Linked DNA regions of Notamacropus eugenii. The protein of the gene in region 1 purifies or fractionates together with the protein of each later gene. This does not show direct contact. Links are inferred from orthologs where the notes say so. Each region holds a gene or a part of one and is shown on either strand. Other genes may lie near its edges. The genes, in order: POLR2F, POLR3G, POLR1E and POLR3F.

The links.
Region 2: the proteins of POLR2F (region 1) and POLR3G purify together in Homo sapiens (affinity purification with mass spectrometry; 3 studies listed by BioGRID and IntAct, with this or other methods). This does not show direct contact. The link is inferred for Notamacropus eugenii from reciprocal best matches to the Homo sapiens genes POLR2F and POLR3G.
Region 3: the proteins of POLR2F (region 1) and POLR1E purify together in Homo sapiens (affinity purification with mass spectrometry; 4 studies listed by BioGRID and IntAct, with this or other methods). This does not show direct contact. The link is inferred for Notamacropus eugenii from reciprocal best matches to the Homo sapiens genes POLR2F and POLR1E.
Region 4: the proteins of POLR2F (region 1) and POLR3F purify together in Homo sapiens (affinity purification with mass spectrometry; 4 studies listed by BioGRID and IntAct, with this or other methods). This does not show direct contact. The link is inferred for Notamacropus eugenii from reciprocal best matches to the Homo sapiens genes POLR2F and POLR3F.

The regions. Positions count from the first base shown.
Region 1 is NC_092874.1:295,434,400-295,441,913, reverse strand, and holds the start of POLR2F (DNA-directed RNA polymerases I, II, and III subunit RPABC2), read right to left. Parts: upstream 3,012-7,514; 5' UTR 2,669-3,011; coding exon 2,649-2,668; intron 1,987-2,648; coding exon 1,917-1,986; intron 1,241-1,916; coding exon 1,110-1,240; intron 1-1,109. Other genes in the region: C3H22orf23 (UPF0193 protein EVG1), read left to right, coding at 3,427-3,486, 4,322-4,430, 4,529-4,591, 6,306-6,482, 7,076-7,216, 7,500-7,514. UniProt on the Homo sapiens protein: DNA-dependent RNA polymerase catalyzes the transcription of DNA into RNA using the four ribonucleoside triphosphates as substrates.
Region 2 is NC_092875.1:450,149,642-450,157,012, forward strand, and holds the start of POLR3G (DNA-directed RNA polymerase III subunit RPC7), read right to left. Parts: upstream 3,015-7,371; 5' UTR 2,782-3,014; coding exon 2,699-2,781; exon of another isoform or gene 2,605-2,698; intron 1-2,604. Other genes in the region: acyl-coenzyme A thioesterase MBLAC2, read left to right, coding at 3,454-3,907. UniProt on the Homo sapiens protein: DNA-dependent RNA polymerase catalyzes the transcription of DNA into RNA using the four ribonucleoside triphosphates as substrates.
Region 3 is NC_092874.1:316,992,071-316,999,942, reverse strand, and holds the start of POLR1E (DNA-directed RNA polymerase I subunit RPA49), read left to right. Parts: upstream 1-4,855; 5' UTR 4,856-5,064; coding exon 5,065-5,128; intron 5,129-6,136; coding exon 6,137-6,240; intron 6,241-7,872. UniProt on the Homo sapiens protein: Component of RNA polymerase I (Pol I), a DNA-dependent RNA polymerase which synthesizes ribosomal RNA precursors using the four ribonucleoside triphosphates as substrates.
Region 4 is NC_092872.1:593,327,988-593,335,861, reverse strand, and holds the start of POLR3F (DNA-directed RNA polymerase III subunit RPC6), read right to left. Parts: upstream 3,016-7,874; 5' UTR 2,917-3,015; coding exon 2,855-2,916; intron 1-2,854. UniProt on the Homo sapiens protein: DNA-dependent RNA polymerase catalyzes the transcription of DNA into RNA using the four ribonucleoside triphosphates as substrates.

The DNA.
Region 1 (7,514 bases):
ACTCCTGGAGGGCACGGGGGACTATTCTGTGTCTCTGGTGCTTAGCAGTGATTTGTGCAAAGGAAGAGCTTAGGAAATGCCTCACTCACTGATTCGTTCATTCATTCCTACCACTTAGGTTCTGACAAAGACAGACTTCCCTTTGTTCCTCATTCTCATCTCGCCCCTGCCTTAGGAAGTACCTTCCTTCCAGGCCCCAATGAAACCTTCCAGGGGAAAGCCATCTCTTCCTCAACCAATTTATCCTCCTGGTTTTTCCTTGCATCTCTACTATGCACTAATATCATTTATACCAGTTCTCTGTGTACTTGTTTCACTTAGACCATAGGCTTTTTTCATTCATTAACCCTTCACTCAATAACCATTTGTTAAATGCCTAGTACATGGCCTCAAGGCTGCAGGCCTAGCAGGTGGAAGCACTATGCTGGGCACTAGAGACATGAAGGCACATGTCCCTGAATCAAAGACTCAGAGCTGGGAGGGGCCTTTCAGGTCACCTTGTCCAGTCTCATTTAACATATGAGGAAGCTGAGACCAGAGAAATGAAATGACTTACTTCAAGTCAAAGTGAGCCCTGGGCCTTTGACTTCTAGGTGACTTTGGCAGTTGGTGGTGCAGTGGACAGAACATAGGGCTGAGTACAACCTTAGACACTTACTAGCTGTGTGACCCTGGGCAAGTCACTTTCCTATCTGCCTCAGTTTTCTCATCTGTCAAATGAACTGGAGAAGGAAATGACAAACCGCTCCAGTACCTTTGCTAAGAAAACCCCAAATGGAGTCATGAAGAGTCAGACATGACTGAAACAACTAAACAACAACAAAACTTTGGACTTCAACTCTGTGTCAATTTCCTAAGATCTCCTTAGTGGAGAAAGTCCTCTGACAAAGGCAGATTGCAACCCATTAACAGCTCAGTTGTCATCGAGAGGACAGCATAGCTAGAAGCAACAGGGCTGGACAAGGGCCACGAGGGATGCATTTGAAGCCAAGGCTTCCTGACTCTCAAACTCATTTTAGCTCCTGTACTCTTAATGTCAGTTGAACTGAGATGTCAATGGGGTGGGAGTGGGGTGGGGGATGAGTAGGGAAAGGGGGATTTCTACTTACGCAATCTGCAGGGCCCGGGTGCCCAGGACCCGGGCTCGCTCGTACTTGGTCATGTAAGGGGTGGTGATCCTTTTCTGGTTTGCCTGCTGCCGTTCCCCAGAGGGAAGGATCTCCACATTCTCCTGGCCCTCCTAGGAAAAGAGGGAGAGGAGAGTGGGAAATTTCCTTGTGGGTGTAAAAGGTCAAAGGCTCAGACCTAGAGGCTCCTGGCAACTTCAACCAGAGATCATGGGGAAGTAAGACTTCGAATACCCCCAACAGAGGGCTCAGTCCATTTTCCAAGTGGAATAAACCACAGAGGTGACAAGTTTGGAGGAAGAAAAGCTTAAAAAGATTTTGGCTTCCAGACCAAAATTTTACTGAATGGCCACAAGACTGGTCAAATGGAAATGTACTTCTTGTCGTGAAACCCCCGGCCAGCTGCCACATCCCGAAACCAGGGAAGAGGCTGGTCTTCCAAAGTAACTCTGTCCTAGATCTGTCCCTTCCACGACGCTTCACCTGCAAGAAGGGACTGAGAGCCCCAGCAGCCAAGGACAAAGGATGGCATGAAAAGCCTGCAGCTGGCTTGTCTGCACACAGGGCTGCTGGTTTACAGTGGGGGGGGGGAGGCGGGGGGGGGGGGGGGGGGGCTGTTCCACTCTATGCTCAGTGACCTTTGTGGTTCCAGGGTTCCAGGTGAGAAGAAGAGCCATGAACTAGAACGATACTATGCTCTGCACCCAGGTGATTGGCACCCAGGTGACTGGCACCCAGCCCTGGCCTCAGTTGTGCTGTGGCAGTAAGAGCCATGGGAGAAGTACAGACCTCCTCAGGATTCTCCAAGTCATCTAGACCCTCATCTTCCTCCACGTCATCAAAGTCATCACCATCGTAACTGTACAGGAAGAAAGCACCAGTGAACCTGGGTGCTCGGAGAGGGCCAAATACCCTCCCCCATCTCCCCCAATTCTAGCCTGGATCTGCTGGGGCAGTGGAAAAGAAGGCTGCATTTGGAGGTGGAGAAGCTCCCACTGTAAAAAGAGGGAGCTGGATGAAGTGACCGCCCCCTCCCCCCCCCCCCCCCCCCCCCGGGCCTTATCTGTCCCCATGTGGCTTCAGGATCCTCAAGGTGCTAGACTCATACCCCAAGTGCACATCACTATCCTCCAGTACCTGCCAGGGTGTGTGCGCCAGGCACCTAAGAAGACAGAGACAGAGACCAGACGGTCCTTGCCCTCATTCTACAAGAGGAGACAAAAGAGGCCTCACACCAGAAGCCACGGAGTCCAACATCGGAGGGGCACAGGCCAGTGCTAATGCGGGTGGGGGGGCGGGGGGAGACCTGCCCAAGATCATCTAGGGGTCAGGATCCGGGACAAGACGCGAAGCCAGGCTTTTCTGACCCTAGGCCATAATGCCTCTGTGATTGCACCTCTTTTCATCCTACCTTCCAATGCTGAGCCCCCATTTCTCAGTCTCCCTTCCATCCCCCTCCTTCCATCCCCCTCCCCTCCCCCCATCCTCGGGCCGCTCTATCTGCCCCTTCTCCGCACTCACTTGTCCTCGTTGTCAGACATGCCTGCGGAGCCTTGGGCTCGGGCCCAGTGGCCGCCTTGGCCAGGAAGAGCTGTCTCCCAGCAGAACCTTCTTCACGGAACCCGACGAGCCCAAGCCACCCGGTCTGGCCTCCTGCACTGCTCGGGCTCGCGCCACTGAGACCAAACTCACGACTTCCAGCACCCACTTCCGGACCGGCCCTACCAGAATTCCCTGCGCCTGCGCGGTGACCTTAGCATATGAGCAAGTTCCGGTAATAGGCCAAGGGGCGGAACCTCGAGCTCTTGGGGCGAAGAAGGGCAGAGAGAGGGCAGGGGGTGGAGCCTGACGCCAAAAAGGGGCGTGGGCCTGCCGTTGTCATGGCAAAGAGGAGCCGGATAGCCCCGAGCAGGGCGCGCGGCGGTTCCCCCGGTAGCCAGAGGCGGAGACGGAAGCAGAGTGGGGAGCTCTTGGGAAGAGGAGACCGAGACCGATCCGGTGCAGTGACATAGCCGAACCAGGAGGGGAGGGAGAGCCAGAACAGAGGACCTGGAGGCGGGGCCTAGAGGAGCCGGAGGCGGATACGGAAGCGCTGGGGGAAGGGGCGGGGCTTGAGGGGAGATGGCTAGGCCATGCATAGGAGATGCCAGGGGCGGGGCCCAGAATGTTCGTGAAGGGGCGGAGCCTGAAGCGAGGGAGGGGAGCCTAGAGCCTGGGCGGTTGCCATGGCAGCGTAGGCGGGACCAGGGGCCCGGGAAGCTCGGACCGGGCTGAGGGCGGGGCCTTCGCAGCCGTTGCCATGGTAGCCGGAGGCGGCCGCTGCTCGGAGCCCCATGGACCCGTTGGGGAGAGCGGAGCGGTCCGGAGCCCGTCCCTGGGGGAGAGGGGAAGCCCAGGGCGGGTGGCCGCGGGGGGCTTGTCACGTGGCACCTCCCCGACAAGGGCGGCCTGTCGCGATCGTCCCAGCACCACAGGGGGCGAGTTCCGCCCTTTGTGTCGCCGAGGGCCGGCCGCAGCGATCGCCTCTCCTCGTCGCCGCCGGTGCAGCCTGAGCCCCCCGCTCGGGCGTCCCCGGAGGGCAGGAGATGATTCCCATCAGGCCTGGCCTGGGTAGAGCTGAGGCTGGACTGCTCGGGGTCAGAAGAAGCCCAGAGTTGCAAGGACCTCCTGACCACCGAGGCCACCCCCCGGCCCCCCTCTAGGAATCCCCCATCCCTGTGTCCTGCTCAGGACGATTTCTGCCCTAGGAAGTAGCGAGCTCCCTGTCCCTGGAGGTCTTCAAGAAGTCCACGTTTGGGGGAGACTTCTTCCCATTCTAGACCAATGACACCATGGTCTCCTCCCACCCGATCCTCCAGCCTTCTATTTCCAGCGAGAGGGAACCCTTCTCCTTTTTGAATAGCTCTAATTGTTAGACGTCAAGCCTAAATCTGCACCCATGACTCCTGTTTGTCAGACTGCCCTCCGAGGCTGAGCAGAACCACACATCCGTCCGTAGAATGACCCTGCTAATGGCATTGCCCTCTCCCAAGACCTGCTTCCACCCATCACCAGACCTGAAATCTCTTCACTGCTCAATGGCTCATTTTAAACAAGTCATCCTTCTCCCCAAGCCTGTTTCTTAGAAGAGATCCCCTTCAGCTCTCAACATTCTGGGAAGGCTAGTCCTAAAAACCTTTCTTTTCCACCTGTAGGGTTTTGCCATGGCAGCAAAGGGGAAATCAGGAGCTGTGGCCAAAGGTACTGGCTTCTGGCACTCACGGCAATCCAGCTACACCCCAGAAACCTGTCAGCTGCTGAAAGGTCAGTGGAGGGACAGCCCTGAAGGAAGGGCTGATCAGGACAGGGCCCCAGGAGGGCTAGAAGCCCAGTGGCTCTTATATCACCTGCTTGTTTTGCAGTGATGATGGAGGAGTCCAAACTCACCAGCTTCCAGCAGCGACAGCTCATGGATTCGATGAAAAGTAATTTGAAGCCTTGATCCTCCTCCTGCCCTTTCAACACTCTCCTCACGCCTTAACTAGAATGGCACAGTAATGGCTGTATAGCTGATTAGGCACTTCTCCCATAGTGTCTAGAGATTCCTTTGGGATGTAATGTGTCATCTGTGTATGGCTCATTTTCCATATCTATAAACTAGTCTTGGTCTTTTGGGGAGGATGGTGCAGATTCCATCTTCCTTCCATGAAAATCACTGGCCTAGTTGAACTGAGACATTTGGGAGAGCAATCTTGAGGGTGCTCACTTCTGTTGGCCTTAACTTTTTCAGTAAAATGGGAGATGGGTCCTCTGTTGAATGTTGCAGGAGGGTTAACTTGAAAAGGGAGAGAAGATGGGACTGGACCTCAGAAGTCATCCAACTCTGGAATTCTGTGGGACACATTCCATTCCAAGACAGTTCTCCACAATCTGGCCTGAACCTGACTGTCCAAACTTTTTTCCCACTGCCCCCCTCTGGGGAATTCTCCTCCACAGCCAAATAGGCTCCCCTTACATTCCATGGACATTCCTCTTCACCTCCCAAGTCTTTGTACCACTTCCCTTATCCAATTTAAGACTATCCATATCCCACCTTTTCAGTAAAATTTTTCCAGCCTAGGCTGTAGCCTTGGTCTCTCTTCTTCCTCTTTACCAATTGGTACCAATTACCTGGACCATTCCTAAGGCCCTAGCCTTACAGGGACTGGACCTGTAATTTCTTTGATAGACTTCTCAGGTGAGGACACTCCCTCTACTTCCTCTGCAACCTTAGGGAGCTGTTGAAATCACAGAGAGGGTCACCCAGTCAGGATGTCAGTTGTTACTATCCCAAACTACCCCACTAGGCCTTGCTTCCTGTCCTGTGCCACTACCAGGATTACAGATGTAGAGTTGGGACCTCTGGGAGCATCCATTCCAGCCCCAGTAAGAAGCCAGGATCTGAGTTGGGGTCCTCTGTCTCCAAAGTTGCTACTTCTGACATCCTTCCTTACCAGACTTTGATGGCCAGGCTCCTTCATGGTCTTGTCATGATAGATGTCTGTCTTTGGTATCTGTGAATCCCCCCCTTCCCTCTGCTCAAGCTCAGTGACACTGGGTCCCTGATTCTTCCAGCCCACAGTTATGGAGGGCATGCTCAAAGAAGCTCCCAACCTAGGTGCTAGAAGCAGGATATAAAGACGTCTACATAGCTCTGCCCTCTGGGAGCTTCCAAACTAGTAGAGGGACACAGTTAAACAGGATGGACATCAGTTTAAATGCATTAAGGAGTTGCATAGTTTAATGAACTCTACAAGGCAGAAGGGTGTTACTTCCAGGGACTCCCTGCAAAAGCCCATGACTTGGGTCTTGGAGCTGCCTGCTAGCTGGAGGCTCTGGGGAATAGCAAAGGCCCCGGGGCAGGGGGCATTCTTGCATATCTTTCCATCTGGATGCTCTCCCTTCCTAAACCCTTAGTAGAGATCATTCCTTGGGCTCCCTGGCCCTTCCTCCACATCCTCCTCCTGCCCCCAGCCTCATCTCCTCTGCTGACCTGGACAGGACTTTACACTGGTGCATATCTGCCACTGGAAGTCAATCATCTCTGTTGAACAGATAGGGAAACTGAGGCTCAGGGGAGTAGGCTAGGAAGTGGCTGGCCATAGGCAGGACTCCTGGTACCTGGGTCTTGGACTTCTTTCTGTTCTGGTCTCTCCCCAGGAGGCGAAGCGCTGCCCTCTTACTGCAACCCAGTATCTAGCCAGAAGCCAATGCCCAAACGAATCAACAGCCTGTGTCTGCCTCCCATCTTGGCCCCAAGGCCCCATCTCCGCCCTGCTGAAGTCTGCCAGGCCACTGAGGCCTACACCCGAGACCAGTTCAAGCCAAGACCTTGTCGTAAGTCTTGAAGCCCTGGGCTTCAGAATAAGGAGATGAGGCACTGCCAACCTCTGCCCTAGCCATGGGCACAATTGAGGACAGATACTGAGACAGGGCAATTTCCTTGAGTTTGCAAGATTCTCCTTAAAATGAACCAGAGAACTGGGCAAGATCTCCCATTCCAACATGTGCAGCAAATGCCTTTTGGAATGAGTGACGCAGGAGGGGAAAGGGGAAAACAAAATCCACAAAACTTATGTGTCCCAAGGAGATTTATTGGGATACAGTGGTAAGATGAGCAGGGCCTGAAGGTGAGGCCAGAGCAACTCTCCTCCCTCCTCACCTCACCTCAGCAAGGCAGAGGCTGTCAGTCATCCTTCCTTCCTCCCTCCCTGAGCCTTGTTCTGAGAGTGGGTCTCCCATGTGAAGCTCTGCTCCTGTCTACATCACCAAAGCATCACCTGGCTCTTTGGCACCACTCACTGCCCTATCTGTGCCTCCCCCCTTCTTCCAGAGAGAAAGATGCCCCAAGGGAGCCTGGGTACGGATGCCCATTTAGTCCAAGGATGTGTGCTATTCTCCCATCCATCTCTCACACTTGGATCCTGCAGGAGATATAGAGAAGGAGAAGGAGCGGCTCCAAAACATATTTGCCAATGGGAAAGAAGGCATTGAGAAAAAGAAAAAGAAGCCATCTGTTCGGCAGGCTGAGCTTCTGCCCTCAGACCCGGAGCCAGATAGATTTGAAGAATGTAAGGCACTATGAGTATGCCTGGGGCCCACGAGGGTATTCCAACCTTGCTCCTGGGCCACCTCAAGCAAGGCACAGCCCATCTCTGTCACACAAGTGGCTTCCAAGGTCCCTTCCTGCTCTGAGCCTTGGCACCTTTGGCCAACTGTGATATCACAGGCCAGGGCAGGGGAGAGAAGGGATTCTCGGGCCTGGGGAGAATCCAGCCTTTCCTATTTCAGGCAGGAGGGATGAACAGGATTGGAGAGTTTCCTGTGTGTGAATGAGTTTTCTCTCCTCTTCAGTGGTGAAGGAAGTCC
Region 2 (7,371 bases), on another chromosome or scaffold:
ATTGAACTGAAATTGTTCTTTCGAGGATTACTAGTGATTTCTTAGTTGCCAAATCGAGTGGCCTTTTTTCATTCCTCATTCTCTTTGACTTCTCTTCAGCCTTTGACATTAGATCACTCTCCCCTCCTTGATAATTCTTCCTGGGTTTGTAGGACATCCTTCCCTCGGAGTTCTCCTCCTACCCATCTGGCCACTCCTTCTGTTTCCTTCTCTGGATCTTCTTACAGATCAGCCCTTCAACTTGTGTCCCCTCAGTGTTTGGTCCTGGGCCCTCTTCTCTTCTCCAATTCTGCCTCACTTGGTGATCTCATCAGCTTCCAAGGATTTTAATGACTATCTCTATGCTAATAACTCTCAAATCTACCTATCCTGCCCCAAGCTCTTGGCTGACCTCCAATCTTGAATCTCCCTAGGCCTTTCATACATCTAGAATTGGATGTCCAGTTGATATCTTGAATTAAACATGTTCAAAACTGAACTCATTAACTTTCTCCCTAAACCCTTCCCGGTCCCTCACCTTCTGGATCACTGTTAAGGTCAACATCATCCCTCATATCCTAGGTGTTATTTTCACTCATATATCCTGTTAGCAAGGCCTATCAATTTCACCTTTTCACTATCTCCTGAACGCAGCCCTTCTCATCAATGACACTGCCACGACCAAAGTACAGGCCCTCATCACCTCAGATCTGGACCATTTTAATAGCCTGCTGGGTTTGCCTGCCTCATGTCTCTTCTCTCCAATCCATACTCCATTCAGACGCTAGTGATTTTCCTTAAGTGCAAGTCCAATCATATCACCTCCCCACTCAAAAAAAAAAACCCCAGTGACTCCTTATTGCCTTTGGGATCAAATAAAAAATACCTTTTTGGCATTCAAAGACCTTCATAATCTAAACCCTCCTACCTTTCGAGTCTTTGTATATCTTACTCCCCAACACACACTCTTTGATCCAATAGCACTGGCATCCTGGCTGTTCTGTAAACAAAACAGTCCATTTCTTGGTTTGGAGCATTTTCTCTGGCTGTCCCTAATACCTGGGACTCTCTCTTTCCAAAATTCCTACTACTGACCTTTCTAGCTTATTTGAAGTTCCAACTAAAATTCTTTCTTCTACTGGAAGCCTTCCTGACCCCTCTTATTTCTAGTGCCTTTCCTCTTAACAATTTCCTACTGTATGCTTACTTTTCATATATCTGCATGCTATCTCTCCCTAATTAGCCTGTAAGCTCCTAGGGGGCAAAGACTCTTTGCCTCAATTCCTATCCACAGTGCTTAGCACAAGTCTGGTACATAGTTGGGGCTTAATAAAGGTTTGTTGATAGATTGGTATTAGTTACCTATTATGTATAAAGCAGGCCAAAAAAAGAAAGGGAGGATGTCCTGCTCCCTAATCCATTCTAAACCTTTTCTTCCCTCCTCAAGTCTCTAATGATCTCCTATCCCCTCTACCTCAGCTGAGAACTTATAATATTCACTGAAAAAAATCGAGGCCACCATCTCACAACTTTCAGATGACCTCTCTTGTATTCTCCATCAAACTGTGAGCTACTGGAGAGCAGGCACTGGGTTTTTTGCCTTTCTTTTGCCACTTAGCACATGGCAGGCATATAGTAGGGGCTTAATAAATGCTTGCTGTCTTGACTTTCTAAAGGGGTATAAAATATGAACAGAAAGGTAAATACAAAATTTCCAGTCCACACCTCCATCATGACTAAAGTCATCCTAAGCAGTTTATAGCCTGATAATAGTATACTCTTCCTCAAACAGAGAGGCATGTTAGTATTTGTCTCCATAAAATAGAGTTCGTATAATTATCTTTTATGACTGCATATTGCAGACTTCAAGAAACTCTCAATCCTGGGAGGGCCCAAGAATGCTGTGTGGATAGAAGAGCTTTTCTGGCCAAAGTCAGCCTCAGGCCACAATCCTGGGAAATTTTCTAAATCTCCGTGGGTGTAGTCAACCAATAGGTGGGGAGGAGGGTAGGGAGAGCAGGTTAAAGGGAAAGTTCTTTTAGGAGGCTAACTGGGCCACACCCACCCTTTCCAGTCTTCCCCAATTCATCTTTTGCCAGCTATCTTCTCTTACTTTGCTCAGCCTCTTCCAGTTCCCATCCCCCTTGCCTTGCTTTTATTCCAACCATGAAAAAGTGTAAAAAATAGATCTTATTTTGTTTTAGAGCTTGGCAGCCCTCCTCACCTCATGCCACGGTTTAATGTGCTGACAGGTAAGTAAAGAGATACTAAATGTTCTACCCTTTGCTGCAAGCCTGCTGCAGTGACCAGTAATACCTAGGAGGGGAAATCCCTTCCCTACAGAAGGTTATGTCCATATAACGCGGTTAATGGCCCACAAAGTCCTCAGTAATGAGTAAATTACTTTCTAATCTCATAGCAGTCAGCCCAGCAAGGGGGACCCAGGTTACAATCAGATAAGAATCATTACAGAACATTTGGGGTTTAATGGGAACAGAAAGAGGCAGAGGGGTCCAAACTTCTTTCTGGCCGGGGGCTAGGTTTCAATTAACTTCTCCTAACCGAGAGCCCTTTCCTTAGGCTCCACATCAACTCCCCTTGCCCCTCAAGGTCCCCATCGCCTACCTCTCCTCCCTGGCCGGGCTTGGCTGGGGCTGCTTATGTTCTCAAACTCACAAGTGTGCCCACGAAGGCTGGCAGGCAAAGGGTGCTGGGTTACCTGTGCAGCCTCTCCCGGTCGCAGGGTTCCACCTCCAAGCAAACTGAACCCCTCCCTTCTCTGTTTCCCCTCCAGAGCAGCATTCAAATTCCAGCCGGCTGAGGCCTCTTGGCCCCGCCCCCAGGCCCGCCCCCTGCACAGCAAGCTTTTTCAGCCCTGGGCAGGCGCCCTGCCTGCTGCCCGAGCAGCCTCGCCCCCACCCTTTCCTGGCCGGCTTGGCGAGCCCTGGCAGGCGCGCTCGGCCCCCGCGAGCTTCGGGCACGCGCGCTCACACGCGTTCGCGCGGGACCTGTGGCTCTGCAGACGTCTCTCTCTCTGCCTCCCCCCTCCCTGCCGTTGCTGCAGTTGGACCCACCCCAGGGTGAGGAGGGTGGAGCGAGAAGGTGCCGCTGTGGGCGCTCGCCCTCCCTGCTGCAGTGGGCTCCGCGCTGCCATTGGAAGGCGCTGCCCCGCGACGCCCATTCGCGGGGGGCTCGGTCCAGGCTGCGGTTGCTGGCGCGTCCTTCCCACCTCCCCACCCCCGCCCCTCGCCCGCCCCTCCTCTTGGCCCTGGGCAGCGCAGCCTCTCCCGCGCCCAGCCCCCCTGGCCTGAGCCCCCGCCGAGCCCTCCTCCTCTCCAGACGGCGCCGACCGCCTGTGGGAGCTGCAGCTGTGTCCGCAGCCCGGAGAGAGGGAGAGGCCCCGCCGCACTGGTGTCTGCTCGCGCCCCTGCCCCCCGACTCCCGCACTCTCCCGCCTCACATCCCGGCCCCGGCATGTCGGCCCTGGAATGGTACGCGCACAAGTCCCTAGGCGACGGCATCTTCTGGATCCAGGAGCGCTTCTTCGAGTCGGGCAACCGCGCCAACATCTGGCTGGTGCGCGGCACGGAGCAGGACGTGGTGATCGACACCGGCCTGGGGCTTCGAAGCCTGCCCGAGTACCTGTACTCGGCCGGCCTCCTGCAGGACCCGGACAAAGGGGAGGACTTGGTGCGGCGGCCGCTGCTGGCCGTGGCCACCCACGTCCACTTCGATCACGCCGGTGGGCTCTACCAGTTTGACCAGGTAGCGGTGCACCGGGCCGAGGCGGACGCCCTGGCCCGCGGGGACAACTTTGAGACTGCGACCTGGCTGTCGGAGAGCGAAGTGGTGCGGGCTCCGAGCCCCGGCTGGAACGCCAGGCAGTTTCGGGTGCAAGCGGTGCAGCCCACCCACATCCTGCAGGAGGGTAATGGAGCGCTGGCCCCTCCGTGGGGAGAGGGGCGCCAAGGGAGGGGGAGGGTGCATGCGGCCTGGAAGAGCCCTGGTGAGCTTAACCAAACGGAGGGCGGGGGGGGGGGGGGTGTGTGTGAAAGAGAGGGAGATCCTTTGCCAAGTCACCCAAATGACACCTGTCTCCATTTCTTCCCTTGGAAGGAGAAAAGCTCCTTGGAGAGGCCCTTTGGGTTCCCGGGGCCCTGCAGAGGGGAGGGGAAAGCGCTCTGCTACAGTAGAGATACAATGTACTACTAGTGGAGTGGAAGACGCTCCGCCCCCTAATTAGTTTCCCTAGCCTGGTGCAGTGGGAATGCCACAGGCTGTGAGACTGAATTTCCTGAAAGATTTCCACCCACTCATTCCCATTCTGAGCACCTGTTTGACATTTCCAGTCACTTAAGGAAAAAAAAATTCTTTTCTCCTCAGCCTCTTCACGACATAGATCTCCCTCCCTCCTCTTTCAGACCCTACCTTGGAACCAAAAGACATAGCCACCGTTTGCAGCATTCCCCACCCTTAGTTTCCATTGCTACTCGAAAGGGAAATATTTTTATTTGCTTTCTAGGATCAACACAAGTTATTGCTTTTTTAATCGGAATTCTGATGCTTTTTAGTGTTATTTATTCACGTTCTTGTAGTCGTTGGCTAGGTTTCCTTGGTTCTTCATTCTGCCTCAGTTAATCCAAGTCTTCCCAGGTTATTCCTTATCTCCAAATGACATCCAGTTCTGACCCCATTTACCTTATGTCTGTTGAAAGAATAACTGTCTAAAAATCACCAGCACCGAAATGAGAGAGCCTAGGTTCAAATTCCACCTTTCATTGAGTGTGTGACCTTGAACAAATTAAAGCTCTTGAGCCTGAATGTTTTTTTAGGAGCACTAGATACCATTTAAGGGGACTTCCAGTCAGAAATTCTTAAGATGGGAGAAAAATTACAGCCTTATTTCAATATAATTCAATATAATTTGTAATCTTATGTATTTTATACCTTTAAAAACATTCTGAGAAAAGGGCCATAGGCTTTGTCAGACTGCCAAGGAGGAATACATCTACAAAACCCTTGCTTGCAGGTCTATACTAATGAGAATCTTATGATTTTCATTTTTCCTATCTGGGCCTGTGATTACATTTGTATGTGACTTCCTCCATCTCATATTTGGCTCTGCTTCTTTTTTGTAACTTGTTTTGCTAGGTACATTGAAGGGTTGAGTGACTTCCTCACCGACCCATAGTCACATTTGTCAAGGCAAAATTTGAACAGAAGTCTCTCCCCAAAGCCAGATCTCAGACCACTACACCAGAGTAATATTCCATTACATTCATATGCCACAATTTGTTTGGCCATTCCCCAATCTTTGGCCAGACGCTTTTGGCAGATTTGAGGGAATCAGGATAAAGCCCAGGGTCACGCAGCTAGTAAGTGGCTTGAGGTCTCATTTGAACTCAGGTCCTTCAAACTCCAGGGTGGGTGTTTGGTCCACTGTGCCTAGCTGCTCCTCTGGCACTGTTCTTAAATCCATATTCTCTCCCCGCCTCCTTCCCCCACCCCCAGATTCAGGAAGCCAGAAAAATAAAACCCTGTTACAAACATGTACAGTCAGGTAAAACAAATTCCCAAGTTGGCCATGTTCCCTCCCCCCCCCAAAACGTCTATCACATGTTTCATCCTGAGTCCTCTGGAATTGTAGTTGGGCCTTCTATTAATCATAGTTCCTCAGTCTTTTAAAATTATCACTATATCACTGTTACTGTATAAATTGTTCTCCTGGTTCTGCCCAATTCACTCAGAATCAATTCAGGCAGGTCTTTCCATGTTTCTCTGAAACCATGCCCTTTACCTTTTCTTATAGCATTATATTATTTCATCATATACATTTACCATAATTTTGTTAGTCATCACCCACTTGATGGGAACTCCTTCAGTTTCCAATTCTTTGTTGCCACAGAAAGAGCTGATATAAATATTTTTGTGCATATGAGTATTTTTTCTCCCTCTAATCTCTTTAGGGGTATAGAGCCTTTAGTGGTTTTGCTGAGCTGAAAGTCATAGATAATTTAATAATTTGGAGGGCATATTTCCAAATTGTTTTAGAATATGACTGGATTTCATAACCTATTTTCCCCAAAACCCTCTAGCATGTCATTTAACTTATTTGTCTACTGTATCAATACCGTGGGAATGAGATGGAATCCCAGAGTTACTTTAATTTGAATTTTTCTAATTATTAGTAATATAGAGAATTTTTTTTCATATGACTGTTGATAGCTTGGTTTTCTTCTTTTGAAAACTGCCTAGTAATATCCTTTGACCATTTATCAATTGAGGAATAGCTCTTATTCTTATAAATTTAAGTCAGTTCCCTATATATCTTAGAAATGAAGTCTATCAGAGAAACTTAGTTGCTCATTTATCTGCTTCTCTTCTAAGTTTGGCTGCATTGGTTTAATTTGTGCAAAACCTTTTTAATTTTATATAATTAAAATTATCAATTTTGTCCTGTGACCCCCTAATTTGGTCATGAACTCGTTCCTTATCCACAGAATTAACTAATGATTTCGTCTTTGCACCCCTAGTTTGGTGACCCTTTGACAGTAGTTTTAGTGACCTATGGCCCTTTGTCCAGCAAGCACTTTTAAATAAAAGAGATACTCCATGACTTACATCAAATGGAGCATCCTTAATGCCAAGTTAACTATTTTTTTTGACGATCTCTCCTATCATCAACTCAGTCCATGTCATTATTAATTACCACATGGATCTTTAGATCATTCTAATTCTAATTATTCTAATTCATCATTCTAGAGAGCAATGATTGAAAACTATTTTCAGAATATAAAAAACGATATTTTCTGAAGAGATTTTTGCCTTTCTTGTTGACTCAAAGAAGACCTTGGATTGTGAGAATAGGAAACTAATAGAAGTGGGATGGAATGATCATTTAACCTACCCAAATTCAACTCCACAATTCCACTAGACCTACTAGCCAAAAAAAAAACCAACAATGGGGGTGGGGGTGGGAGGTGCGGGGAGTGGGGGGTGGGGTGGAAATAACAATTTAAATGGTGCCAGTTCTGGTCACTACTAAATGCAAGTAGCCTGTACCCATGAATGTATGTGAGATGGGGAGCTAATCCTTAAACTGGTCTCAATATGTGGAAGCACTGGGTATGATTCTAGAACCTTCTCTCGATCATGCCTACAAAATGGTAGAGCTAATAGCAGGAAATGACAGCCTTAGTTGGCTGTGTACCTTTTTACTTTATTGTGTCCACTCTTGACTGGTGGGGAAGCAAGAGTAGAAAACCATTGTCATTCAAATGATTTTTTTTTTTTTTGGTAAAGTCTTTTCAAGGATAGTTTTTCCTTAATTATCAGTTTTCAAACTAAGACTCTACCTGTTTCGTTGTCTTCCTTTGAATGGAAGTTCTGACT
Region 3 (7,872 bases), about 22 Mb from region 1:
CCCCTCATGGTCAAGGCTATAGGTCACTGTGTAGCCTTGGGTCCCCCCCACTATGGATGGGGACCTTACACGTATCTAATCTGCCTCTTTGCTAGCAAGCCATTTCCCTCACTTTGAAATTAAACTTCTGTTTGATTCTTGACTTTCGTATCCCTAGCCTACTCTGTTTGGCTCTGGCCAGACACAAATTAGAGGTTGACAAATATAAACTATAACATATCATATCACCACTATCTGATACTCTTAGGCGGTAGAGAAGATTCCTTGGAGAATTGTGAAACTACTAAATAACTTTGTTTCTTTGTCCGCACTAAATCACAGATATTCTGGCCAGCCAGGGCAATGTTGTGGGCATGTCCTCTAAGAAGGATGTACCTGGGGAAATCATTTACCTCTGAGCAACAAAACAGAACACCTAAATCAAGGATTATGAAACTCTAAAACTCATGAAGAAGTTAGAAATATCCATCTCTTAATATCACTATTTGGTGATCAGGGAAAAAAAGCAGAAATCAGAAGAGACAGCCAGATCCAATCTCAAAATCACAGACAAGCATATTCTTTGTTGCATGTTTGTTATACCACCATAACCACTTTTAAGGTCGTTCCTTCTTCCTAGCTCCTGAAATCTAAGGGAGAGCTGGCAATTGGTTGTGTTCCAGCAAAGAAGTCCCTTTTAAAAGGATTTGAAGCTGTTGACTACAAAGGACCTGAGTTCAGCAATCATGAGAACTCGAAGGCAATGAGTCACAACATAATATCAAAAAGAATTTTATGCAAATGATGGAAAGTAATTGAGGCATCAACTGTAGGAAGAGGCCCCAATAAAAGCCTTGAGGAGAGGGCTGGTTAGGTCAGGAACTCAGCATCCGAAGTTTGATCTGGAGTGAGGTTTCATTGAGCCAGGCCGCAGCAATTTTTTTTATATGAAACAGTGTGATTTTGTTCTTTGTTGTTTTTTTCTCTCCCTTTTTACCTAGCAATTATCTTATAATTGGACCTTACACAATAGGTTTAGAACCTGGGAGCTCCACAAAAGAGTTCCACCAATGGGGTTAAGGAAGAAGTCATTAGAGATCCTTTGTCCAACCTGTGTTTCCATAAGAAACTTCTGCCAATTCCCTATCTTCAATGGAAGCCACCTCTCCTCGTGTATCCTTTAGCCCAGAGAGTGAGTAGCTCTTCCTGGCTTATCTCTCAGTCCTCTTTCACATGATCCTCGGTCATAGGAACCAATAAGGAATTAATGCATCAATCTTAAGCAAAGCAAGAGGTCACAGTATATGTCTGTTTCCACAGAACCAGAGCAAATAATCCCTGTGGCATAAAATGTATAAAAATTAAATACAAGATAATTTTGGGAAGGATACCAGCAGTTGGGAGGATCAGAAACGTATAATGTAGAAGGTCCTTCTTGAGTTGATTTTTGAAGGAAACAAGATATTCTTTAAAGTGGAGGTGAGGAAGGAGTATATTCCAGGCCTGGAGGAGGAGTATGACTGAAATGAGGGAGTGTATGAGGAGAGTAATGTATTATAATTCGGGAGAGCTAGGTTGGGGTCAGGTTGTGAAGGGTTTTAAAAGCTAAACAGAAATTTATATCTAATCTCAGAAGTGATAAGAGGTCCCTGAAGTTTGTGGAGTAAAGGAGTAACATGATCAGTTGCCTGCTGGAGGAAAATCACTTTGACAGCTGAACAGAGGCTAGATCAGAGAGGTTAAGAGGCTTGAGGCTGGTAGACCAACATGGAGTTGATTGCAATAGTCCAGTCAAGAGTTGACAAGAATCTGAACCAGTGCCCCAGTAAAAATAAAGTGACAGAAGTGAGAAATGTAGTGAAAGTAAAAACCAGAAATTTTGGCAAATGATTGGATATAAAGTGGAGAGAGTAAGAACTGGAAGACAGCACTGAGGTTGTGACCTTGGGTGACACAATGAATGAATAAGCATTTGTTAAATGCTTACTATGTGTAAAGCACCTCACTAAGTACTGGGGATAGAAACAGAAAAAGGAAGATAGTTCCTGCTCTCAAGGAACTCACATTCTAATGGGGAAGATAATAGTGCCTTTGACAGAAATAAGGATGTTCCGAGAGTAGTGGTTGGGATGGGGGAGGAAGAGAATCAGCTTCATTGGAATTTGTTGAATTTGAGATACCTGCAGGATAGCCAGTTTGAAATTTCCCATAAGTAACCAAAGATGCACAACTTAAAGATCAGAAAAGAGATTAGTGCTGGATATAGATTTAAAAATCATCTGCATAAGTTGAAGCATACCTTTTTCCACTTCATTTGTCTTTTGGTATGGTTTTTTCCCCAATGTGGCTAATGTGGAAATATGTTTTGCATGACTTCACATGTATGATCAATAACATATTGCTTACTTTCTCAAGGGATAGAGAATTCAGAACTCAAAATTTTTAAAAATGAATGTCAAAATTTTTGTGTATGCAATTGAGAAATATTTAATGAAATAAAATGTATTTGTAAAAGAAACATTTAAAATCTTAAATGTAATTGGGAGGCGTAACAAAATAAAAATATATTTTAAAAATAAAAATCATCTGCACAGAAATGATAATTAAATTCATGGCAGTGATGAGGTCACCAAGTGAGAAAGTACAGAGAAAAAAGAGAAAATGCAGGATAGTATCATAGTTAAGGAGTGTTATACAGAAAAGAAAGTGGAGAAGAAATAGTCAAAAAGATAGGAGGAAAAGCAAGAGAGAGTAGTACCAGAAACCTTGAGAGAGGAGAGAGTGTTTACTGGGAGAGGCTGGTGAGTATTGTCAAATACCGTAAGGAAGTTGAGAAGTTTGAGAGAAAGCCACTGGATTTGGACCTTGTAAGAAAAGGGCCCTTGGGGCTTACTGTCAGACACTTTCTTCCTGTGTCCCTCACTCTCCTATCACTCAGAGCCAGGTGTACAAGAAAATATTACTGTTTCAATTAATGTTTTATTTGATTCTTTTAGAGTTCTCTAAATAGAGCATCATACCTCTGCAAAAACTTCTTATTTGTCTAGGTTCCTTCCCTCAATTTCTTTTTCTTGTTTTCACTATAGTTAGCATTTCTGACACTCTATTAAATGACAGTGTTGTCTCTGGACATTTGTGCTTTACCTCTGATCTTATTTGTAAAGGACTATCGAATTTCTTCACTACTTATAATGTTGGCTCTTTGTTTTACATAAGAAACTATTTGCTATCTTAAGGAAAGATACATTTATTTCTGTGATTTTTAATACGTGAGGCTGTTTGTTCTTTAATAGACTTTGAATTTTGTCAAAAACTTTCTCAGAACATATTGGTATAACTAATTTTTATTTATACGAGCTATTATAAACTATGTTATTCCTAATATTGAACCTCCCCTATAGTCATGGTATAAATCTAACTTGGACAAGTATCTAATCTATTTAATATACTATTGTAGCCTCTTTGATATTTTATTTAATATTTTGTATCAATATTTGTTAAGGATATTAGCCTATATCGTTTTCTCTCTTTTTTGTCTCTTCTTGATTTAGGTATCAAGACTATATTAGTAATAATAGAAAAAGTTTGGTAGTAAACGTGATTTCCAATTTTTTTGCAAAAAACATTATATAATACAGGAATTAACTATTCTTTGAATGTTTGATACAATTCACTTGTAAATACATATAGTAACGGGAGGAGTTTCTTGAGTTCATTTATGGCTTGTCCAATTTATTTTTTCTGATGTGTTAAGTTCTTGGTTACCTTCTTTTAACGAGTATTTAAATTTTTTAATAAATGTTTTCTATTTAATTTGTCTGTTGACCCCATAATTGGACAAAATACTTTGATAGCTTCCTTTATCTTAATTTTTTATAAATTCTTTTCATTTTTGATGCTGGCACTTTGTTTTTTCTTTTCAAATGGAACTAGTTAACTTTGTAATTATTATTACAAACAGCTCCTAATTTCATCGATCGGTTTGGTGGTTTTTCTTCTTTCCATGTTGTTCAGCTCTTTGATTTTCAGGATTTGCTTTGTTATTTAGCTCTTTACTTTTCAGTCGTCCCCTTACCAACCTATGCTTTGTCTTTCCTTAATTTTTGGACTTAGATATAAATTTACTATGGAGTCCTGCTTTAGTTACATCCCAAACCTTTTGTTCCTGTCATTCTCTCTGATGAAATTGCCTGTTGTTTCTTGGATTCATTCTCTGATCCACCCGTTCTTAGGAATGATTTAATTTGTTTCTTCCACTCCTCCCACCCCTGTCCTGAGTGATTTGTTTAAGACACTTTGTTTTGTTTTTTCTAACCAGACAAGAAAGTGAAGCTCACGCTGAAAAGTCACCAAGTGGATTTTTGCCCAGCCCCTCCTGAGAGCAGAGGGGGTACGGACCTGCAGTCAGGAGGTCCCCATCACTGTCAGCACCTTGGACAGATGCTGTTTGCCCATTGAGTCCGCAGCCCCCAGTGATCCTCATGGTCCTCATAGGAGCTCCAGCCTTCACCTGGGCTGTCATCAGCTCCAGCTCACGGTGTGTTGGAGGCATGGGGGACTGGTAAGAAGAAGGAGCATTTAGGAAGCACTAGACGCTATTGTTATCATCCACATTATACAGATAGGGAAACTGAGGCAGGTGGAAGCTAACAGACCCGGACCAGGCGTGCGAAGACGCTCGGACCGCCCAGCCACTAGCTTGGACAAGGGGAGGAGCCGACGGCTTCAGGGGGCGGAGCTTAGAGGGCGATGACGAACCCGAGGCTTCAATGGGCGGGGCTTGGGAGGAGGGACTGAACCGGACAGCCGTAGGAAGCTGGATTGAGGAGAGACCAGCCAGTAGGCGTTAGGAGGCGGTGCTTCTGAGGAGACAACCAATCAGCTGAGAAGCGGAGGCTAAATCGACAGGTCTTCAGGAGGCGGGGATTGGGGAAGGCCCGGGTAGGGCGGTTCTTCCGGCCCCGCGGCCCCGCCTCTTCCGGTGGAAGCGGGATTGGGGAGCTTGGTGACTGGAAGCTCCACATGTGAGCTCCGTGGAGCGCGGACCGAGCCGTGGCCGTGGGTTCCGGGGGATCTGCTCCGGCCATGTCTGCGTTTGCAACGTGGCAGTACTGCGGGGAGCCGGGCGAAGGGCAGAAGGCTGCTCTGGGTAAGGCCGGGGGCGGCAGAGCAGCTTTACCCCCTCCCTTAGGGGCTGTGAGGACCGTGCGCGCCCGCGTCGGGACCGGCGCTTGTAGTGCCAGAGGCATGACTTAGACCAGCTCTCGCCCAGCGCCGGCCTCCGTGCTCCCTACATGTCCAGGAGGCGCTGGGTGGTGAGGGCCTCGAGCGCCCGGACAAGCCGCCGAAGGGCCTTCGTGAAAGGGCAGGGCCTCCCGGTGCATGCCGGGCCGGCTCCAGGCGTCCTGAGGATGACCAGCCCACCGGCCCGGACGGCTGTGGAGGGGGTGAGGCTGGTGAGCGGCCGGCCCTCCCCCTCAGAGCAGGGTCAAGGGCGGGTCAGGCCACGAAGGACGAGCACAGCCCACTCCCCACTTCATCGGGCATCAGAAGCTCTCCCGGGGCCCGTCTCAGCGCACCCGGCAGATGCACCAGTGTTTGCGTACGGGCAACTCTCTTCCCTCTCCACCCCCCTTCTCACTGTGGATACACCGTCTCTGTAAAACGCACAGTACACCTACAGCTCCTTCAGGTCGTGCCTTACAGTCTGTCCGCGCGCCGGTCAGGGAGGCTGTCCTCGGGGGTCCGTGTGACCCGATGCCCCCTGCAGTGCCCCCTCCTGCCCTTAGTCCCCATGCGCTGGCTGGCCTTTCTCCTGTCTAGCTGTCCTCCATCAGAGCACTTGTTTGTCCCCAGACTTCCCTCGGTCTCTCCCTCAGGACCCAGGGAAATATTCTAAAATGACTGTGCTTGCCCCTAGTCCTTGGTCTCCATCCTCTTCTCACTCTGTAGCCAAAGCCAGCGTCCTCTCTTGTTACCTCTCACATAGGAAGGGTCTGGTAGGATTCGCTTTCTGTGACGTTCGTAGATACTGTAGCCCAGAACTGGGGATTGAAGGGCTTTCCTGTTTTTATTAATTACATTAATGGAACTCTTTTAGAAGTCCACTCTGCATTCAGCGCCACTTCGTTGATCATTTTCTGTGCATTTATTGCAGTTCAGTTTTCCAATGGGAAACTCCACAACGCTGAGAATGTGAATTTTTCCTTGTACAAGAGCAAAGACACCACCAACCCCAGGAAGAAGTTCAGGAGGATTTTGGTGAGTCCCTCAGTAGTTTTGTCTTTTTTTACAAGGTGGTGTGTGCCTGGAAGCGGGCGCTGACCCAGAATGAGAACAGCTTTGCCTCATGGGGACCGGGCAGAGCTGATTAAAATGCTCCTAAGCTGTTTAAGTCCCAGTCAGGTACATGCTGTGCTTGGGTCTGCTGGGTGCTAGGGGTGCAGAGGTAAAAGTGAAGCAGCCTCTGATTTTAGAAGGCACTAAATACCGTCAGAGGAGACCTCGTGTACGCATATAAGTGTGTTCGTAGTCATTTGGGGGGTGAGAGAGGATGCCCCAACATCTGAAGAGCAAGAAAGGCCCTGTGGAAGTGGCTTCTGAGCTGAGCTTTAAAGAAAACTAGCAGGGGTCTTTACTTGAACTGAAACCTGCCTGTGTCCTGTGGTCCTGGTTCTGCTCAGGGGCCAAGGAGAGTGAATCTTAGTCCCTTTTCACATGAAAGTCCTTCACATATTGAAGACAGCTCTTATTTCCCTGTCTTTCCCCCAATTCAGTATCTTCAGTTCCTTCAGTTGATTTTCATAACTTTGTTCTTTGATCATTGTCTCTGCCCCCCTTCTCAATGTACTTTCGTTTGTCAGTGTCCCTCATACAGTGTTTGCCTGGAACTGAATGAAGTTAAATTCCAAACATGCTCTGATCAATACAGACTATAGTGAGATTATTAACTTCTGTTAATACAGTCTAAGATCCTTTTATTGTAACCATGTCATATGTTATTGACATAATTGAGGTTGTAGTCAGCAGATGCCTCGTTCGTAGAAATTGTTATTTATCCACAGCTCTCCAATCCTGTACTACAGGATTTTTTAAAAATTTTACATTCATCCCCAGATATTTTAAAAATAAATATTTTGTTGATGCTTTTGATATGTTTCACTTTTCAATGATTTATCTTTCCACTAACAAGTATAGTTAAACAAATCAGATCAACAAATCAGGCACACACTATGGAAAAAGTGCAGCATTTTAAAAGCCTTGGGTTCACATTCCAGCCCTGTCACTTATTACCACTATGATTCTGGGCAAGTCCACCTCTCTATGAAATGAGAGGGTTGGATGAAGCAGTTCCCTTCCAGTTCTCAGTCCTTGATTACAGACGCCTGGTTCTGCATCCAGATCTGTAGCCCATCCCCTCTCTGCTACGAGGAAGAAGAGTTCTGATGTCTTTAGGGGTGCTTTCCTTTATGTTACCGTGGTCATCATCTAAATTGTTCTCTTGGCTTTCTTCAAGTTATAGGGTCATAGATTTAGACCCATAAGAAAACCTTAACAGCCATCATGTTTAACCCCCTTGTGCAGATAAGGAAACTGAGGTATAAAGAGGGTAGGTAGAGTCAGATAGAATAAGTGTCTAAGGTGGGATTTGAACCCGCCTTTCTTAACTGAGTTCGTTGTCCTATCCACTGTTCCATGCTGTTTTCCCAAGTTCCTCTGACTTCTTCAAAATCATTATTTCTTACAGCACACTATTATTCCATTACATTCATATACACTTTGTTCAGTCACTCTCTTTATGTAGGTGTCTACTCTGTTTCCGTTTTTAGCACAAAAAGATTGCTGCAAATAGCTAATACACAGAAGTATGGGAAGATTGGTATCAATATGTGT
Region 4 (7,874 bases), on another chromosome or scaffold:
TATTATATGTCAGGCACTGGTTTAGGCAATGAGAAAATAAAAAATCAAAGTTTTTACTCTCAAAGAAGGAACTTAAATTCTATTTCATCACCTATTGCCCACTGGAACTTTCAAACTGTATATACAATAAGCATTTCAATACTTCCCAAATTCAACTCTCTATTTAACTTTCCTGTTTTTGATACGGGCACAATCATACATCCAGTCACTCAAATTCATAAACTGAGAATCATCCTCCGTCACTCTCTCTCTTCTTACATATAAAATCAATTACTTTCTCATTCTCCCTCATCCCACAGCTACTATATCCAATCAAGTCTTGTCAATTCTTTCACTAAAACATCTTTTATATCTGTCCCCTTCTATACACCCAAACCATAGTTCAGGCTCTGATCATCTCTTGCCTGGACTACTGAAACAATTAATCTAGCCTCTGATGTTTACCAGCTATGTGATCCTGGGCAAATTACTTAAACTCTCCCTGTCTCAGTTTCCTCATTTATAAAATGGAGATATGAATAGCTGTGAGGATCAAAGCCGTAAAGCACTATATAAATGCTAACCATTGTTGTAATTTCCTTTTGTCTCGGATTTCTCCCTCTTTTCAGTTCTCTACACAGCTAAAACACAAATCTGACCACATCCCTCCCCTGCTCAAGAAGCTTTAGTGGCTCTCTACAATCTATGGAATAAAATACAAACTCCTTTGTTTGACATTTAAAGGCCTTCACAGCCTGGTCCCAACATACCTTTTCATAAATATTACCCTTTATTCCTTTCTACCACAGTATCATCTTAACTCCTCACTTTTTCTCGGTCCTCATAGCCACTGAGTTGTTAAATCCTGTTAATCTAACTTTTAAAATATCTCTTAGGTGTCCTTCTCTCCTGACACTTCCAAAATCCTCTTGCAGGCCCTCATCACCTCATCCATAGATTATGAAAATAGCTACTGGTAGGCCTTAACAAGTATCTCCCCACTCCAGTTTATCCTCCGTTCAGCTATCAAACTATATTCCTGAAGTGCAAGTCTGACCATGTTACTTCCCTACTTAATAAACTCCAGTGGTTCCTAAATACCTCCAGGATCAAATATAAAATCCTCTGTTTGGGTTCAAAGTCCTTTATAACCTTCCCCTGACACACACACCTTTCCAGTCTTCTTCCCCTGTACATTCTTCTCACAATATATACTCTACAACCCAGTGATAGTGATCTTCTTGCTTTTCCTCACACATCCTCACACAAATTCTAACTCCAGTCATTTTCACTGGCTGTCCTCGATGCCTGGAAGGCTCTTCTTCCTATTTCTGCCTCCCTGCTTCCCTTTCACTTTCTTCAAGAAGCTTTCTTGATCCTCATTAATCTTAGTGCCATCCCTCTGAGATTATCTCCATTTTACCCTGCATATATTTTGTTTGCATAATGTTTCAGACTACAAGTTTCTTGAGAGAAGACGGGTTTTTTTGCCTTTCTTTGTATCTCCTAGAACAGTGCCTGACACATAGTAGCCACTTAATGATGCTTGCTGATTTGACCTTCTTAATAAAATCTCCTTCCTCCAAACTGTTTAGTGAATGAACAAAAAAAGCACTTATTAGGCATTTCCTATGTATTATGTGCTTCACTGAGTACTGAGAATACAAAGATCAAAGAGAAATAATTCAAATCCTCAAAGAACATCCATTCTAATAGGAAGAAACAAAGCATATATGAGAGTGGAGGTTAGGTAAGAACAGTTTGGCCCAGAAGTACAAGAGTAGTGAGGGTATTAACTGGACTCTTAAAATGAGATTGTCTTTCCAAAAGCAATTAAAGTATTGATCTGATTGCTGTTCCTAGAGTAAGAGGTAGGAAGAGTGCACGATGGAAAGCAAAGGGCAGCAGCATGAATGGAAGATTAATAGGGAGAAAGTACGGTCAGGGGCATGGGGTCAACTAAATACGATGAGCTTTCACCAGTCAGGGCATTAAGGACCAAAGGTAATAGTTCCAAGTGTCTTTCCTCTCCATATATGTATTTTGTATGTGCTTATATACGTATACGTTGTTTCCCTCCATAGAAGCATAGTTGAAACTGTTTCACTTCTGTCCTTGTATCCCCAGCTCTTAGGTGGGGAATTGACAGGTATGTTTACTGACAGAATAATTAATAAAACGTTATGAATGTCCTTAGGTTACAGTAAAGACCTTTACCTAAGCCCTGTGACGCTTATCTTTTTAAATATATTGATAATCACACAGCAACATAATTATAATTTTGTAATAACTATATAACTTTGTAATCCTATGTTATTTTGTTTTATCCGTTTAAAAAAATAACATTTTAAGAAGAGATTCACAGGTTTGACAGAAAAAAAATTTAAGAATCCCTGGGTAGAGCCTGAGGTCTTAGGTTCCATTCTGCATTCCTTAACTCTGATACTTCCTCACACTAGACCACAGACATAGTCCAATTATCACCACTAGTAGAATGATTTTCAAAGCACGTTTTTACGTCATTTCATGAATGAATGAAAAAGCCTTGAAGCACTTACTATGCGCCCAGCACTGTCACCTCAGTCTACACGTGTAGCTTTAGTTAACTATCTAGACTGTAACAAAAACAAGCTAAGTGATTTAGAGTTCGTTTGCAAACTTCCCGAAATCAATTCGAATTGACCCAGACACAAAGACTGGTAAAGGTTAGGAGGGGCCGAAGCCCTCGGGACAGTCTCTCTCACCCCTCCCCAGGACCTTTCACTCCCCAAGACCCCACGCGAATCCCAAGGAGGAGGGCCCGGGAGGAGGCGGGGGGCTGGTGGAGAGGAGAACGCAAACTATAGATCATTCATTCCCAGCGTCTCCTTTTTACCTGTTTTCTATTTCCACTGGGTCTGCATCAGGCGGCTGTGCCTTCACTTTTACCTCAGCCATGATTCAGCCGGGGGTGAGAAAGCAGGAGCTAGCTCGAACCTCCAGCAGCCTCCCCCGGGCCTCCGCCCCCACCTGGGCAGAAAGGGGCCTTTTTCTCTGAGTCGCATCTCAGCCAAGGACCCTCTTTGAGCTGTCTAAGTCACGCCGGTCCCGTTTGACAATTGGGTGCTGCGTGGTTCGTGCACAGAGTTAACTATTTAAAGTATTTCTCCACACATTCAACGGACTCATTGCTTTCCTTGTCCCCTTAGGCTCTCCTCTTCAATATTTCCCTTCCATAGATCAGGCGAATATTGAAACGCCTAAGACGCTTCTTGAGTTAGAGGTAGGAAGAGAACTAGCAGGATTCTCTGAACGGCTTGGAAGGGGCGGAGCCAGTTGCTAGGAAGCTAGATTTGAACCAATCAAAATAGTCTCCTCGGTTTTGGCTGGTGCTGAAGCGTCTCTGGTAACTGGAGTCCTCAGGACCCGCCAGGTGAGGAGCGGCCGGAAACTGGGGTCAGTCTAGGCGGGCACAGGACACCCCAGGGGAGGACAGCAGGATGGCAACACCCGGGAAGCATCTGGTCTGAATGAATGGGGGGACCCCCTTACCTGGTGGGAACACCTGCGTTTGGGCATGACCTTGGGCATGACCACGACCGAGTTTGGCCCGCCGGCTTCGGGTGTCTGACCCCTATCCTTCCCGCGGCTCCCCGGACTTTCTCTGCGTCCCTGGGGCACATCCCCGAGCACCTGCGCGGACGGCCCCGGGATGCCTGCTGCTGCCAAGCTGGCGTGGGAGAGAGGAGGGCCCGCTGCTGGGGCCTCCGCAGCCGTGTAGAGCCGCCTGCCCGAGGCCCGTCCTGCGTGTGCTTCGGCGGGCGCTTTTAGACCTTTTGGGGGTTCCCCTCGCTCTCGAGGATTTCCCTGCAAAGTCACTGCTGCTGCAGAAAGCTTATGCACGTGTGTAATTGTGGGGAACAGTTTCCACCCCGTCTCCCCCCCCACAGTAGACATATATAAATATATATATTGTGGGGAGCAATTTTCCCCCTAAATCGTTGCTAATGCAGGAAGCTTTGTATATGTGTGTATAAATGTATGTGTGTGGATGTGTGTGTATACATATGTATATATATATATATATATATATATACACACCTCTGTACACATAGATGTGTGTTTGTGTATATAATTATGGGGAACAATTTCCCCACGAAATCACAGCTAATACAGCAAGCTTGTGTGTGTGTGTGTGTGTGTGTGTTTGTCCTTCTTTGCTGAAGAAGACCATGCCGTCAGAGAAATAATGACATGACTTGCACGTGACTTTGACACACATAACAGATGTATATATTTATATATGCACACATATAACTTGTGTATATGTATATACACACACATAGCAAGTGTATTTTGTTGTTGTTCAGGTGTTCAGTTATGTCGGACTTTACTGTGACTCCCATGTACTTTGTGGTATTTTCTTGGCAAAAATACTGGAGTGGTTTGCCATAGGGAACTGAGGTAAACAGGGGTTGAGTGGCTTGCTCAGGGTCGCCCAGCTTGTCTGAGTGTCTGAGGCCGGATTTAAGCTCAGGTCTTTCTGACTCCTGCTCCAGTGCTTCATTGCACTACTAATACTTGTACCCTGACTGTTAAATATGGTATCTGCCTGAAGGGACAATGGAGGAGGCAAAGGCATAGCCAACAACACTAAAATATCTTTGTGGAGTTTTGGAGCCCAGATGTAAAGGCTTCATTTTTGGGAAAACCAGACTTGTTCATCATCCACCATTATGAGCTAGAGTGTTCGTTGCAGGTTAGTGTGTGGTGAGTGGTGTGTTTGTATAATATATGTGTGTGTGTGTGTTTTATTGTTGTTCAATCATTTTCAGTTGTGTATGACTTCATGACCCCATTTGGGGTTTTCTTGGCAAAAATACTGGAGTGATTTGCCATTTCTTTCTCTGGCTCATTTTACAGATGAGGAAATTGAGGCTGACAGGGTTAAGTGACTTGCCCCCAGGGTCCTCTAGCTAGTAATTGTCTGAGGCCAGATTTGAACTCAGGAAGAAGAGTCTTTCTGACTGCAGGTCTGGCACTCTATATACTGCACCGTCTAGCTGCCCTCTGTATATGTATATATGTGTATACATACATAAATACATACGTATGCACACACATATATCACAGCTACTGCATATGTATAGATATATACGTATATAGTGTATATACGTATATATATGTGTATATAGAGAGAGTGTCTATATATGTGTGTATCATAGATAAGTATATACATATAGCTAGTGTATCTGAATAAATACATTTCATAGCAAAGTGTATATCCACATATATCATGGCAAGTGTATATGCTTATATATGTATATACATATCATAATGAGGTTAATTGAATGATATTTTACACCCAACCTGATAAAGAGGCAAAGAAGGTGCAAACACTGTGAGTTTCTTCCAAGGTGCTTCTAGAACAAGGGTTCTTAACCTAGAATCTAAAAACCCCTCCAAGGCACCCTCTAAGGATCCACAAATGGATTTCCTGGAGCCTGTGAATTTGGGTGGGAAAATAAATTACATCTTTATTTTTACCAACCTCTAACGGAAATGTATTGTGTACTTCAATTGTGAATGTAGACAACAATAATATTCTGAGAAGGGGTCCACAAGCTTCACTAGACAGCCAAAGGGATCCATGACACACAAAAAGTTAAGAACCTTTGTATTAGAAGGAAGAAAATATCTTGCTCCAAGTTTGTAGTTTTAATCTGAAGTGAGATATAATTCAGTCCTCGAAGGAAAAGGACATGTGTTGGAATATTTTCCACATTAGACCACATTTTGAATCATACAACTGACCAAGAGGTCTCTGTTTTTTGGTTAGTCATTACAGAAAAGGATTTGGTGAAGAGACTGAAATGTATACTTAAATGTGTATTCAATGCCTCCAATATTGTCTTCCACAAATATGTTAAGATCATACTAGATTTCTTTAATGTTTTTTTTATATCATAGGGAGGATGAGATTTGTGATTTCATTGGTATAAGGAACTTCTGGTGAAGACTATCCCTCTACCAGTGCATAGGATTCCTTTTTAGATTTAATACAATTAACCCAATATTTTGTTGCCCACCAGACCTAACAATAGGGAACAGAAACTATGGGCTGGTGAACTGTCAGGTAGAGTTGAGGAGAGAGGAACTAAGAAGATTGAGAACTTGTGTGGTGCATTAAGGTTTGCAAAGTGCAAAGTGTTATCTCATTTGATCTTCATAACAATCCTGTAAAGTAGGTACTATTATTATCTCCATTTAATGGATGATGAAACTGAAACTGAAAGATTTTAAGTGACTTTCCCAGAGTCACATAGCTAATCAAAGTCTGGAGTAGGACTCAAGCTCAGGTTTATCCACTGGACCGCCTAGCTGCCTCAGAAGGAACAGATCAATACTGTACAATAAAATACAATCAGTGCGTATAATACTAGCACTTTTAACACTGGCTCAGGCAGTGGAAAATGCTTTCTCACTTTTCCAGATAGATATCTTTGATCTACCACTGCTTTCCCATTCTATCTCATATATGTCAATTTTAAATGAATCTTATATGTATAAAAATATTAGAGGAAGAAATCCATCCATCTCTTAACCTCAAACCATACCCTGAAATCTATTTCTGTTGGCATAGTACTAATCAGACAACATGTATTTATTGCACCAGGCTCTGTGCTAGGCCTAGGGATATAGGCATAGATTAACACAAAAAGAAGAAAACAACCCCTCCCCTTAAGGAGCCCTTCTATTGAAAGAGTCAGCATGTATACATATCAATATAATAATAATAGCTAGCGTTTACGTTTAGTTTTAAAGTTTGTAAAGTGATTTACAAATTTTAACTCATTTGATCCTCACAACAAATTTTATCCCCATTTTATAGCCCAAGAAGTTTAAAAATGTAGAAATTAAATGATTTGACCAGGGTCATATAGCTAGTAAGCATCTAAGACGAGATATGAATTTAGGTTTATCCTGACTCCAGGTCTGGGGCTACAATGTATACAAAATAGTTGGTGGGGAAGAGGTGTTAGCACCTAGAAGAGTTAGAAAATGCTTCTTCTAGGAGGTTGTACTTGAACTGAGCTTTAAAAGAAGCTAGGGATTCTAAAGAGATAGAAGTGACATTCCAGACGTGGAGGGGAGGGGCATGTCTGTGCAAAGGTGTAAAAGAAGGAGATAAAATTTTGCATGCAGAGAATACCAAATAGACCTTTTGGGCTAGACTGTGTAATGAGATGGGAAAGGTAGAGTGAGATAGTGATTAATTCTCTAAGGTTAACTTGTATATGATCACAAAAAATCCAGGAAGAAGCTTATACTTTTAGTTAATTACAAAATAGCTCTTTAGAAAGTGGCCCTATTTAGCTAAAGAGATTTAGACATTATTTACATTTATCCTCAATACCTTATGGTGGAGGTGAGCGCTCTGGTTTGTCCCCCATTACTTATTTAGGAGAAAAGATTATGCTGTAGCCATTCCTAAATGTTCTCTTCAACTGCTGAAAGGCAGGAAGGGTAAGATCAAGATGGCACTGGTAGAAAGGAGACAGAAAGAGCTTCCTTCAAGGAGTTAGTCCTTCTAGGAAGCTCTGAAGAGTGTGATACAGATTTTTTGGTTGTCTGGATTGTTGGACTGGCAGAAACCTCGTGTGTGTGTGTGTGTGTGTGTGTGTGTGTGTGTGTGTGTGTGTGTGTGTAAGCCATATTTGTAGAAAATACAGGCTCAGAGATGTATTGGCTATAATGTGATAATTAACAAGTCATTTAACTTCTCAGTACCTCAAACAATTCTCTAATATTACAAATTTCAGATTGGTTGGATCTACATGGTGGAGGGAGTTTCATCATCAGGAGTTCCGTTCCCTACACCAATAAAATCAGTCAATAAACATTTATTAAGTACC